Linked DNA regions of Oreochromis niloticus. The protein of the gene in region 1 purifies or fractionates together with the protein of each later gene. This does not show direct contact. Links are inferred from orthologs where the notes say so. Each region holds a gene or a part of one and is shown on either strand. Other genes may lie near its edges.

Evidence for each region. Proteins that work in one complex are often made in the same cells at the same time.
Region 2: the proteins of psmc2 (region 1) and psmd9 fractionate together in Homo sapiens (co-fractionation; 4 studies listed by BioGRID and IntAct, with this or other methods). This does not show direct contact. The link is inferred for Oreochromis niloticus from reciprocal best matches to the Homo sapiens genes PSMC2 and PSMD9.

What each region holds. Positions count from the first base shown.
Region 1 is NC_031981.2:38,763,106-38,768,077, forward strand, and holds the start of psmc2 (26S proteasome regulatory subunit 7), read left to right. Parts: upstream 1-1,852; 5' UTR 1,853-1,963; coding exon 1,964-2,033; intron 2,034-2,281; coding exon 2,282-2,319; intron 2,320-2,420; coding exon 2,421-2,502; intron 2,503-3,478; coding exon 3,479-3,578; intron 3,579-3,757; coding exon 3,758-3,889; intron 3,890-3,981; coding exon 3,982-4,054; intron 4,055-4,135; coding exon 4,136-4,231; intron 4,232-4,327; coding exon 4,328-4,492; intron 4,493-4,586; coding exon 4,587-4,674; intron 4,675-4,783; coding exon 4,784-4,972. Other genes in the region: dnajc2 (dnaJ homolog subfamily C member 2), read right to left, coding at 1,411-1,465.
Region 2 is NC_031977.2:19,453,923-19,458,894, forward strand, and holds the start of psmd9 (26S proteasome non-ATPase regulatory subunit 9), read left to right. Parts: upstream 1-1,829; 5' UTR 1,830-1,912; coding exon 1,913-2,038; intron 2,039-2,133; coding exon 2,134-2,233; intron 2,234-4,972. UniProt on the Homo sapiens protein: Acts as a chaperone during the assembly of the 26S proteasome, specifically of the base subcomplex of the PA700/19S regulatory complex (RC).

The sequences.
Region 1 (4,972 bases):
CAGTACTTTGACTCATTACTCATCACCTAAGATGTTTTCTCACACTAAGAAATCGAACCTGCTCGTACAGTCAGAGGAAACTAAGTCAGCCCTTTGGAACCATCTGCACTTGAAGTTTTGTTTTACACTGAAGAAAAAACTGCAAATAATAGAGTAGAAAATCGAGTGATCTCCAAAACACAGCATGGATTTATGTATCAATTTGTTTTAAACGATTTTAGACTGAAGAGGGAACGACACGTACACAAACTTCAACACTGCAAGAGATTTTTACCAAAGCCTCAGGCGTTAATTAGCATGTCAGGGCTAAAGCATTTGCAAAGGTTTGCACATTTCAAAGCTTTACATCAGAAAGACTCCAAGGTGGAGGGCCCTGGCAGCTATGGCTGTCTTTTATGTACAGTCTATGGTTGACAGCTGGGAAACTAAAAGGCTGTTTGGCAGGAAAGAGCTTCAGAGAGACTAAGCAGACTATGCTCAGAATCAGAAAGGGTTTTATTGCCAAATGTTACAACATTAGGAAATTGCTGCAGTACTTAGTGCGAAACATACTGTAAGACAAACACATAAATAAAAATTAAAAGTGCTGAGCAGATTGGTATATACATGAATGCAGGTGATCAGTGCAAAAATGGAACCGATGCAGAGAACACAGTATAGGGTCATGTGTTTGTGGTGGGAACAGTCCTATGGTTATTGAAGAACTGAAGAACAACATACTTCATTCCACCAAGCACCAAGCTCAGTGCATGTGTCACAACCATCACTGACCCAAACATGGTGGAAAGTCTCACTAAACAACTCAGGATCCTCCAAACAAGAACTCCCACAGCTGAGAGAGGTCCCAAAGGAAGCGGTCCCAAGGACTGACTCTGAACATGTTGCGTCTCTCTTGCTTTGTCATTTTAAAGCTACAAAAATATAAAATGCATTATTATTGGACTGGAACGGGTGTGGAGATAAATCAGCCCTGACATGTGACAGACTGTGCCGCGACACTGTCACAGTTTAACAGCCGTCAGTCAGTAACAGTGCTGCATGTGTCTTCAATTTACTCCTGTCAGAGTCACAGGTGTTCAGCCCTTACGTAACAGCCAGGTAATGACTCCACATGAAAGGCTGTGAAATTCCAAACTAGTCTGTCATTAATAATAAGAAGCCAACTAGCCGGTGAAGCTGGTGAGAAGCTCTGGCGGCTGCGAGTGAACCCGGCGACAAACGCCGTTTGGATAACCCGAGACACAACACGGCTAACTACTAAAAACGCAGAGACTTTACTAAGATTCAAATTAGCCGGTAATGTTAGCCTGCTGTGTGCGCTGTTTAGCTGCATGCTAACAAGCAGGGCAGCAGTCAGTGTGTAAAGGCTGCTTAACTAGCTGCCTTTCTCTGACCTCCTTCAGTGCTTACCGGCAGCTGCTCTGTAGACAACCGTTTCACCCCCATCCGACGCTTCCAGCAGCATTTTCAAAGCAGGTTACGCGAACATTCAGATGCCCAAATAATCAAGTGAGACCTTCAGAAAGTGCTACAGTCTATGGCCCGCTCTCTACCACATGGGCCTCCTTTCGCCACTGCCAATCCGAGAACGAGCTCTGCTGTCACACCGCTAAACCCTCCGGGTGTATCATCGCGCCTCGTCACTTGTAGTTCCGCCGTCTTTGTTTTATCTGTAGCTTAAAACCTGGCCCCGCTAGCTAAACATGTCACACAATTTCTCTAATAATTATGAAGTAAAAATGATACGCACAAGATTTCTGTACCCCCCAACAGACCACCATGATAATAATTTTTTTTTTTTTTTTTTTTTTAAAAACCATGAAGCTGGTACATCCTCAATACAATTCCCGCTTGTGTGTTCCGGTAAGTGGCGCATAGCGGCGGAAGCCTAAAGCTGCTGTGTAATTGTAGAGTTTAGCAGTCCCGATTGTTCGCGACTAAACAGTTTGTTCACACATTAGACATGCCGGACTATTTGGGAGACGACCAAAGGAAGATTAAAGAAGAGGAGAAGGATGACTCCCCTATTAGAGGTATATCTAAAATAGTTTATTTAAAACATGGATACTATTTCCCGAAAAGAAGCGTCGATATCAGCTAGCAACATGGCTAATGTTAGCTTAGCTCGTTGAAAACAGTTGGTGAATGTATTTGCTACCATGTTGTTATAAATATGATCTGTTTACGGTGGAATAAAAAGTCTTGTATATACTGCATCGCTCAGTCCGACGACGGTGACAGAGTGCACGCGCATTCATGTGATTGTGATTCTTTTTTAAAGCTTTGGATGAAGGGGACATCGCTCTGCTCAAAACATATGTAAGTATGGATTTCAAACAAAACCACAGCACCAAGCAAGGGTCAAGGAAATGGAAGTGATTCCACAGTGAGTGAATGTGTTGTTTGCTGTTCACCACCAGGGTCAGAGTACCTATTCCAGACAGATCAAACAAGTGGAAGATGACATACAGCAGCTGCTCAAGAAGATAAATGAGCTGACGGGTGAGCGACGAATCCAGAAGTACATTTGTGCCACAGCAGGGCAGTAAGATGTAGAGTTCTCAGTAAGCTTCTTACTCGACTTGTTGATTGTTTAAAAGCGGTCATAAGCAACAAAACGTAATTTATTGGAAAAGCTCATTTGCCGAATTAACTTTCTAAACCTCCGAAATTTCCAGAAGCCACTTGTGTCTGACCAAATTTCAAGTACTGCGTCAAAATCAGGGGTTTTACTCCGGCTTTCTTAGATTTTCTTTACTTGGAATTCACCATTACAATTTTCAAACGTATTCAGATATTCTCAGTTTCATTTCTAACAACCAACAGTAGTACAGGAAGTATTTGGTAGCTCTATAGAAGTGGTTTACACATTAGCTGACAAGCGAAAGGTCGCTGGTTGATTCCAGCAGGAGATGCAAATCAGAAAAGGCTTCTGGACTAAAAATCCTGAATGAATTTTGTCACATCCAGAAACGATACAAAAGTTACAGACTTGATGATAACTGCAGCTGCATTGTCCTGTGCATGTTAAGTGATTATCTTGCAACATACACAGGACTCAATAGCACTGTTGCACTATACAAATACATTTGGACAAGTTTCATTAAGTGCCAGTTAAACCTCGTGTATTTTCACCCCTCACTTAATTATTTGGTGCTTGCATGGCCTGTTACTTTAGATGCAGCTGTCTAGCTGGCCTTTCCTGGCCACCCAGTACTCTGGGCTAAGGTAACACACAAAGAGAGATCACCTTTTCCACCACAACCCACTGCTATGGGGCCAGTTTAGATTTAAAAAAGACATGTCTAGTTGACTTTAACTCCAAAAAATGGTAAGGGCAGCATTGCTGTTGAAAATGGATCGTCTTAAATTTGGAATGATTGTCCAGCTTTATCAGAGGAGTATATATGGACGGTTTTGGTTCTTTGGAATGCTGCACAAGATGCTTTGTGTCTGATTTGTTTTTTTAATTGCACAGGCATCAAGGAGTCTGACACAGGCCTGGCTCCACCCGCTCTCTGGGATCTAGCTGCTGACAAGCAGACACTGCAGAGCGAGCAGCCGCTGCAGGTAGCAAGGTAAATGTTTAACTTTAACATCACCAAAATGTAAAGTGTGGTGTTATATCGCTGATCTTCCCTGTGGGATGTTTCGAGGAACATTCCTGTCAATCCGACATGAATTTTCTTAGCTTTCCTACTTCCTTCCACAGCATTTCCATTATGTAGCTTCATGATTCTTTATTTTTTTCTGAAAGATGCACAAAGATCATCAATGCAGACTCTGAGGATCCCAAATACATCATCAACGTCAAACAATTTGCCAAGTTTGTGGTGGACCTGAGTGACCAGGTGGCTCCAACTGACATCGAGGAGGGCATGAGAGTGGGGTGAGGCAGAAGCATGATTTAAATGTGTTACATAGTTTCCAGAAGGTTCCGTCAGCTGTAAGCTAAGTTTAGTGTCCTGTCTGTTTTTCCAGGGTTGACAGAAACAAGTATCAGATCCACATTCCTCTGCCTCCGAAAATCGACCCCACTGTCACCATGATGCAGGTTAGGAGGCGAGGAATACTTTGTGATTGTTTGGTTATCTGTCTGCTTGCATGTGATAACTCCTTTGCCCACTTGCTTTAGGTGGAAGAGAAGCCTGATGTGACCTACAGTGATGTTGGTGGATGCAAGGAGCAGATAGAGAAGCTGAGAGAGGTGGTCGAAACTCCGCTGCTCCATGTGAGTGTTCCAAAGTTAGAACCACCACTGAGGCATGAGTGAAGCAACTGTCTTCTGCACATGGAAGCTCACTTGTCGTCTTTTTCTTCTCACCAGCCTGAGAGGTTTGTCAATCTGGGAATCGAGCCTCCTAAAGGTGTGCTGCTATTCGGGCCCCCCGGTACCGGAAAGACCCTGTGTGCCCGGGCTGTGGCCAACAGAACAGACGCCTGCTTCATCAGAGTCATCGGCTCTGAGCTGGTGCAGAAATACGTGGGAGAGGTGCGCTCACGAAAAGAAAGATTAGCTGCAGTTTAGATCAGGAAGGTTGATTCACGTAAACGTCTGCTCTGACTTTTCCTGAACTCGTTCACAGGGAGCCAGGATGGTGCGTGAGCTCTTTGAGATGGCCAGGACCAAAAAGGCCTGTCTGATCTTCTTTGATGAAATTGATGCTATTGGAGGTTAGTCTCATATTTACATTACTTGTATGTAACGTGCAGCAGTCCTTTTAATCCAGTGTGAAGAAAAATCAATTCTGAGTGTGAGCGTGTAACCCTCTGAACCTGCCAGGTGCTCGTTTTGATGACGGTGCCGGTGGAGACAACGAGGTCCAAAGGACCATGCTGGAGCTCATCAATCAGCTGGATGGTTTCGACCCTCGAGGCAACATCAAAGTGCTGATGGCCACCAACAGGCCGGACACGCTGGACCCGGCCCTGATGAGGCCCGGACGTCTGGATAGGAAGATTGAATTCAGCC
Region 2 (4,972 bases), on another chromosome or scaffold:
CACATTTGCACATGCTCCCAATGCAGGAGTAGGGCATTTGTAAGCCAGCTGAAGATGAAGGAGAACTTACTGAAGGAAACTTTATGCATGCAGTAACACAGTGTTCACAGAGGTTTTAATGACTTTAGTCCAAATTATTCGCACATCTGTCCAATTTAAGCATTGAGCCAATAAATCACATTCCAGTTTCCAATAAGAGATCTCATATGTACCATTTAAGCACTCAGGGTACACAGCACTTACAGATGTAGAGCGAACACTATACGGTACTTATTCACTATGATAATTTTGAATAGTTTTATACCATTGTGCCTTTATGTATGCTGCTCTGAAATTCAGAAGTATGCTACAGGACAACTTGGTGGGACTGTTCTTGACTAAAAGTCAGGGGTGTATTTGTGAAAGCTGTGTATTTGTTCTTAGCACGTGGGTGCAAAAAAATGTTCAGCATACAGAAGCTGCACGTTGTTTACAGCTCTTGAAAGATTTCTGAAAAAAATCCAAGGGGTTAATCTAAAGATCTGTGATTGTATGTATCTAATATATTAAAGGTGACACATGATTGAATGTAATGTGTTTGGGTGTTTTCCTTCACTAAACCAGATGATTACTTGCCATATCGCCAACAGAGAAGTTTTAGAAACTTAGCTCTTTGGAAAGTCAGACAGGTGTCAGATGTTGAAATGACTCAGTCCAATGCCTAACTGATAGAGTCCAAACCTGTTCCTCCTTTACTAATTTCCTTTACTAATAAAAGATCAAAAAAACTTTATCAAATAAATGGAAAACTGAAGGGTTTCAAATTCATGCTGAGATTCTAGTAGCAATAACTGTCTGCATCTTATATGATAAAAAATAAACTGTTTTTTTTTTAAAAGCTACTAACATTTTTTTACACTTTTGTTTATTTAGTATGCAGGAAAAATCCAGTACTCAAAAAAGCCTCACACTAATATTTTGTTTAGTTTTGGTGAGGGCAAAGCAGTGATAATCTCATGCAACTTCATAACTGTATTTTCATCCAGCATTACTGCATCATTGGAAGGGGGGTGTCTAGTCATTCAGGATATACAGGCAATAAGTTATCCTAATTTTTTGGCGAATAAAATTGCCTAATCTAGATCTTCAGTCGAGTGGAAGAGAGCCTGACCATAATAACTAAAAGTAAAGTCACGTATGTCACAGTGAGTAAAGAAGAAATGCTCAATGCATCATGGGAAGCCCCCAGCAGGCAAGGCCTATTGTAGTGTTACTAAGGAAGGGTTGGGGTCAAGGTCACCTGATCCACTCCTAACAATGAACTATATTAAAACGGAAAGTTTTAAACCTAATCTTAAAAATAGAGAGGGTGTTTCTCTCCCAAATCCAAACTACGAGCTGGTTCAGCAGAAGAGGCCCTTGAGAGCTTAAGGCTCTGCTTCTCAGATGGAAGCAGGTAGAGGGGGAAAAAAAACATATGAGCTGAGAAATGCACAAAAGGAAGAATCATTGATCACTGTTGTGTATGAGATGTTGGAAGTTTTTTATTTGGTCTTTGTACTGATGGAACCCAGTGGTGAACGTGTTATCCACTGGAGTATAAAAATGTAAACCAAAGTTTAAACGTTTCAGTTTATGTATTTTTTTTAGAAATTCTATACGTGTCATTTAAATTATTAGTTATTTAATTCTAAATCTGCGCTTTCGGCTGTAGTTGTTTTGGACAACATAACAATGACCAACAATAATTACTACTAATTTCATTATTATTTGTGCTGGTGGCAGTAATATCAGTTTAAAGATCGTCAGTATAGTTCTAAAATGTTTTCGTACAACGAGCAAATCATTGAGGGGCAGCGGAGCGCTTTACTGCCAAATAAAACCAAGAGAAGAAGAAACAGGAGCTATACCGGAAGCACTAGTTGGAGTAGCCATGAAGATGACGGATGAAAACATTTCTGGAAACTCCGAAATAACAATGGGTGATGTTAAAAACCTCATCAAGAAGAAAGATGAAATTGAAGAGCAGATAAAGGCGTATTACGACGTCCTACAAGACGTAAGTCAGCGACCATATTATTAGCAAAACGTAGCACAAAGCTAAGTCTCAGTAAGGTTTTTTTTTTATTCGTCTTTGTTTACTTTTATTTACAGCAGGGGGTCGGAGTTGAAGACTCCTTGGTGGATGCGGAGGGTTACCCACGAGCAGATGTTAATCTGTACCAGATTAGGACGGCAAGGCACAACATTTCATGTGAGCGGCAGTTTGTTTGCTTTCAGTGGTTTCCCTGACAGCTGGAGACACGCGTGTCGTGTTTGACTGTGTGGCAGATAATGGTCTCTTTATGTTGTGTGGCAGAAAAACTGATGTATGCTATCAAAGCACAAACTGATATCTGATCATTTACCCACACACCACGTGTGCGGTGCATTTTTAAAAGTTAAAAAAGTATTTCAGATAACTTATCTACGAGCCCAAGGCAAAAGTACATGTTAATGGTCACTAAAAGATTTTAAAGGTGACACCAACGGATAATTCTATTTGGTTTTAATACATGTAGTAAGCATTTTAAATGCCGTTTATTTTGCTACGATGTAATACACTTGCCAGAGTGTACACCAGATTGCACCCACCTTTGCCTTCAGAGCTGCCTTAATGCTTCATTGCATAGATTCAATAAGGTGCTAAAATACACCTGGCTCATATTGGTTTGGTTTATGTTGACATGATAGCGTCACATAGTTCCACCATAGCCATAAGGTGCTCTAAAGAATTGACCTTTGAGGGCTGTAGAAGCACTTTGAGTACAGTGAACCTTCTTGGACATGACAGTGCTGTCCTGTCTGTGTCGTGCTTGGACATTATACTGTCATCCATCAGAAGCCTGGCACATTGTGTGGATAAAGGGATGAACATGGTCAGTAACAATACTCTGGTAGGCTGTGAAGTTTAAATGATGCTCACTCAGTACTAAGGACCCAGAGTGGGCCAAGAAAATATCCCCAACACATCACCGCAAACTACTTGAACTACTGATGCAGTGGATTCATGCTTTTGTTGCAGCAGAAATGAAAACTCATCAGACCAGGAAACATTTTTCCAATCTTCTGTTGTTTGATTTTAAAGAGCCCCTCGCCATTTGTAGCTGTAGTTTTTTGTTCTTAGTTGACAGGTGTAGCACCTAGTGTGGTCTTCTGTTGCTGTTGCTAATATGTCCCAAGGTTCCAGATGTTGTGAGTTCAGAGACGCTCTAGCGTGGCTATAATGAGTGGTTATTTGAGTTACTGTTGCCTTCCTATCAGCTTGAAGCCATTCTCATCTGACCTCTGACATCAGCAAAGTATTTTCACTCAGAGAACTGCCACTTACTGGATATTTTCTGTTTTTCAGACCAGTCTCTGTAAACCCTAGAGATGGTTGGTTGAATGTAACCTCCCTGCTACATTCAATGTAGCTGCTGCCATGTAATTGGCTGATTTGCAAAGCAGTTGAACAGATGTCTTCAACAAAGTGGCTATTTGGTATATATTATATACTTATGTTTACTTAATATTTTATTTAATGTATAATTATTATTTATTATATTTCTTTGATTTCAGATTATTTTTAATCCCTTTAAGATATTTATTCTATACTTAATAATAAACTGAGCTTTATAAAAGGAAGAAGACAATGAAAAGATTCCATTACAAAATACAAAATCTAAAGGTCATGTTACATATTTTCTGGTCATATAATAAATGTTAGGCTGATATTTAATGTACACATTAAAAAAAAAAAAGACAAAGTAGCACATCTCCACACTGAAGTAGCTTCATCCATTAATGAATCAATTAATTTCATAAAGATCTCAGCTCTATATCAATAAAGTTCTTTGTATATAAACATATTCTTAACTAGAAAGTGCATTTTCTGAAGAAACTGCAGTGTGAATGCTTGAATCTGAATGTATGCACTGAAATGAATTAATTGCTGAATTTTAAGTTAAAAATTTTGAATGAGATGAAAAATACAGAAATTTTCGCCTGAAAACAAAAGTGCTGAACTGCTAAAAGCTGACATCCACAGAGAAGAAGTTGGAAAATAGTTGAAAATGTTTTAAATGGAAATTAGACAAACCTAAGAAATGACAAAAGAAAATTTAAAGTCAGAAAACATCTGAATGAATATTAAAATTTCATATTCTTTAAATCACTGAATTACTAAAGTGTGATCCCTCCACTTGGATCTACACAGTTTAAAAGGTTTACATTTCTGAGCTTTGAAAGACACGCTGTTGGAAAGAGAAGAACGATGGCTTCGTTTTGAGGGTAAAATGATGGCTGTAGAGCAAACACTGTGGACACAGCAGCAGTTGAAAGAGAAGTGTTTAAGATGAATCTTGGCACAGTGAGAGACAGAACTCATTAGGCAGGCAGGTGTGAGCCTGGTTGCTATAGTGACTGCACCCAATGGCTCCATACACACGCTCACAGACATGCACCTCACTTTTGCTGCTTAAAATGAACAGAAAAGTCAGGCCGAAACAAATCACTCCCAAACGAAAAGTATAGGTCGTATTGACAAAATTCTTTCACCGTGAGCGGCAGCAATGTCTAGTCTACCTAATTCTCAGTTTTCATGCCTGTGGAGTTTATTATATGGACGTGGTGACAGTGTAAAAACACCATGCTCTTCTGATTTTCAAACGAACCTTCTGAGCCATTTTAACATTAGAGTCTATGGAGGAGTTGGAGGGAGGAGGCTGTGCTTTGGTGACATTTATGAAAGAACCATAACACCTAGTACAATAGTAAACACATTGGATGAAAGAGGACAGCGATGGCTACGTTTTGAGGGTAAAATCATACCTGTAGAGCAAACGCTGCGGACACAGCAGCAGTTTTAAAAAGGATTTTAAGATTAATTTTTTCGCTCCTCTCACTCTAGCAGTTGAGCTGTCTCACTCTAGCCCCAACATTCCGTCCCATACACACCCATTATAAACTCTGA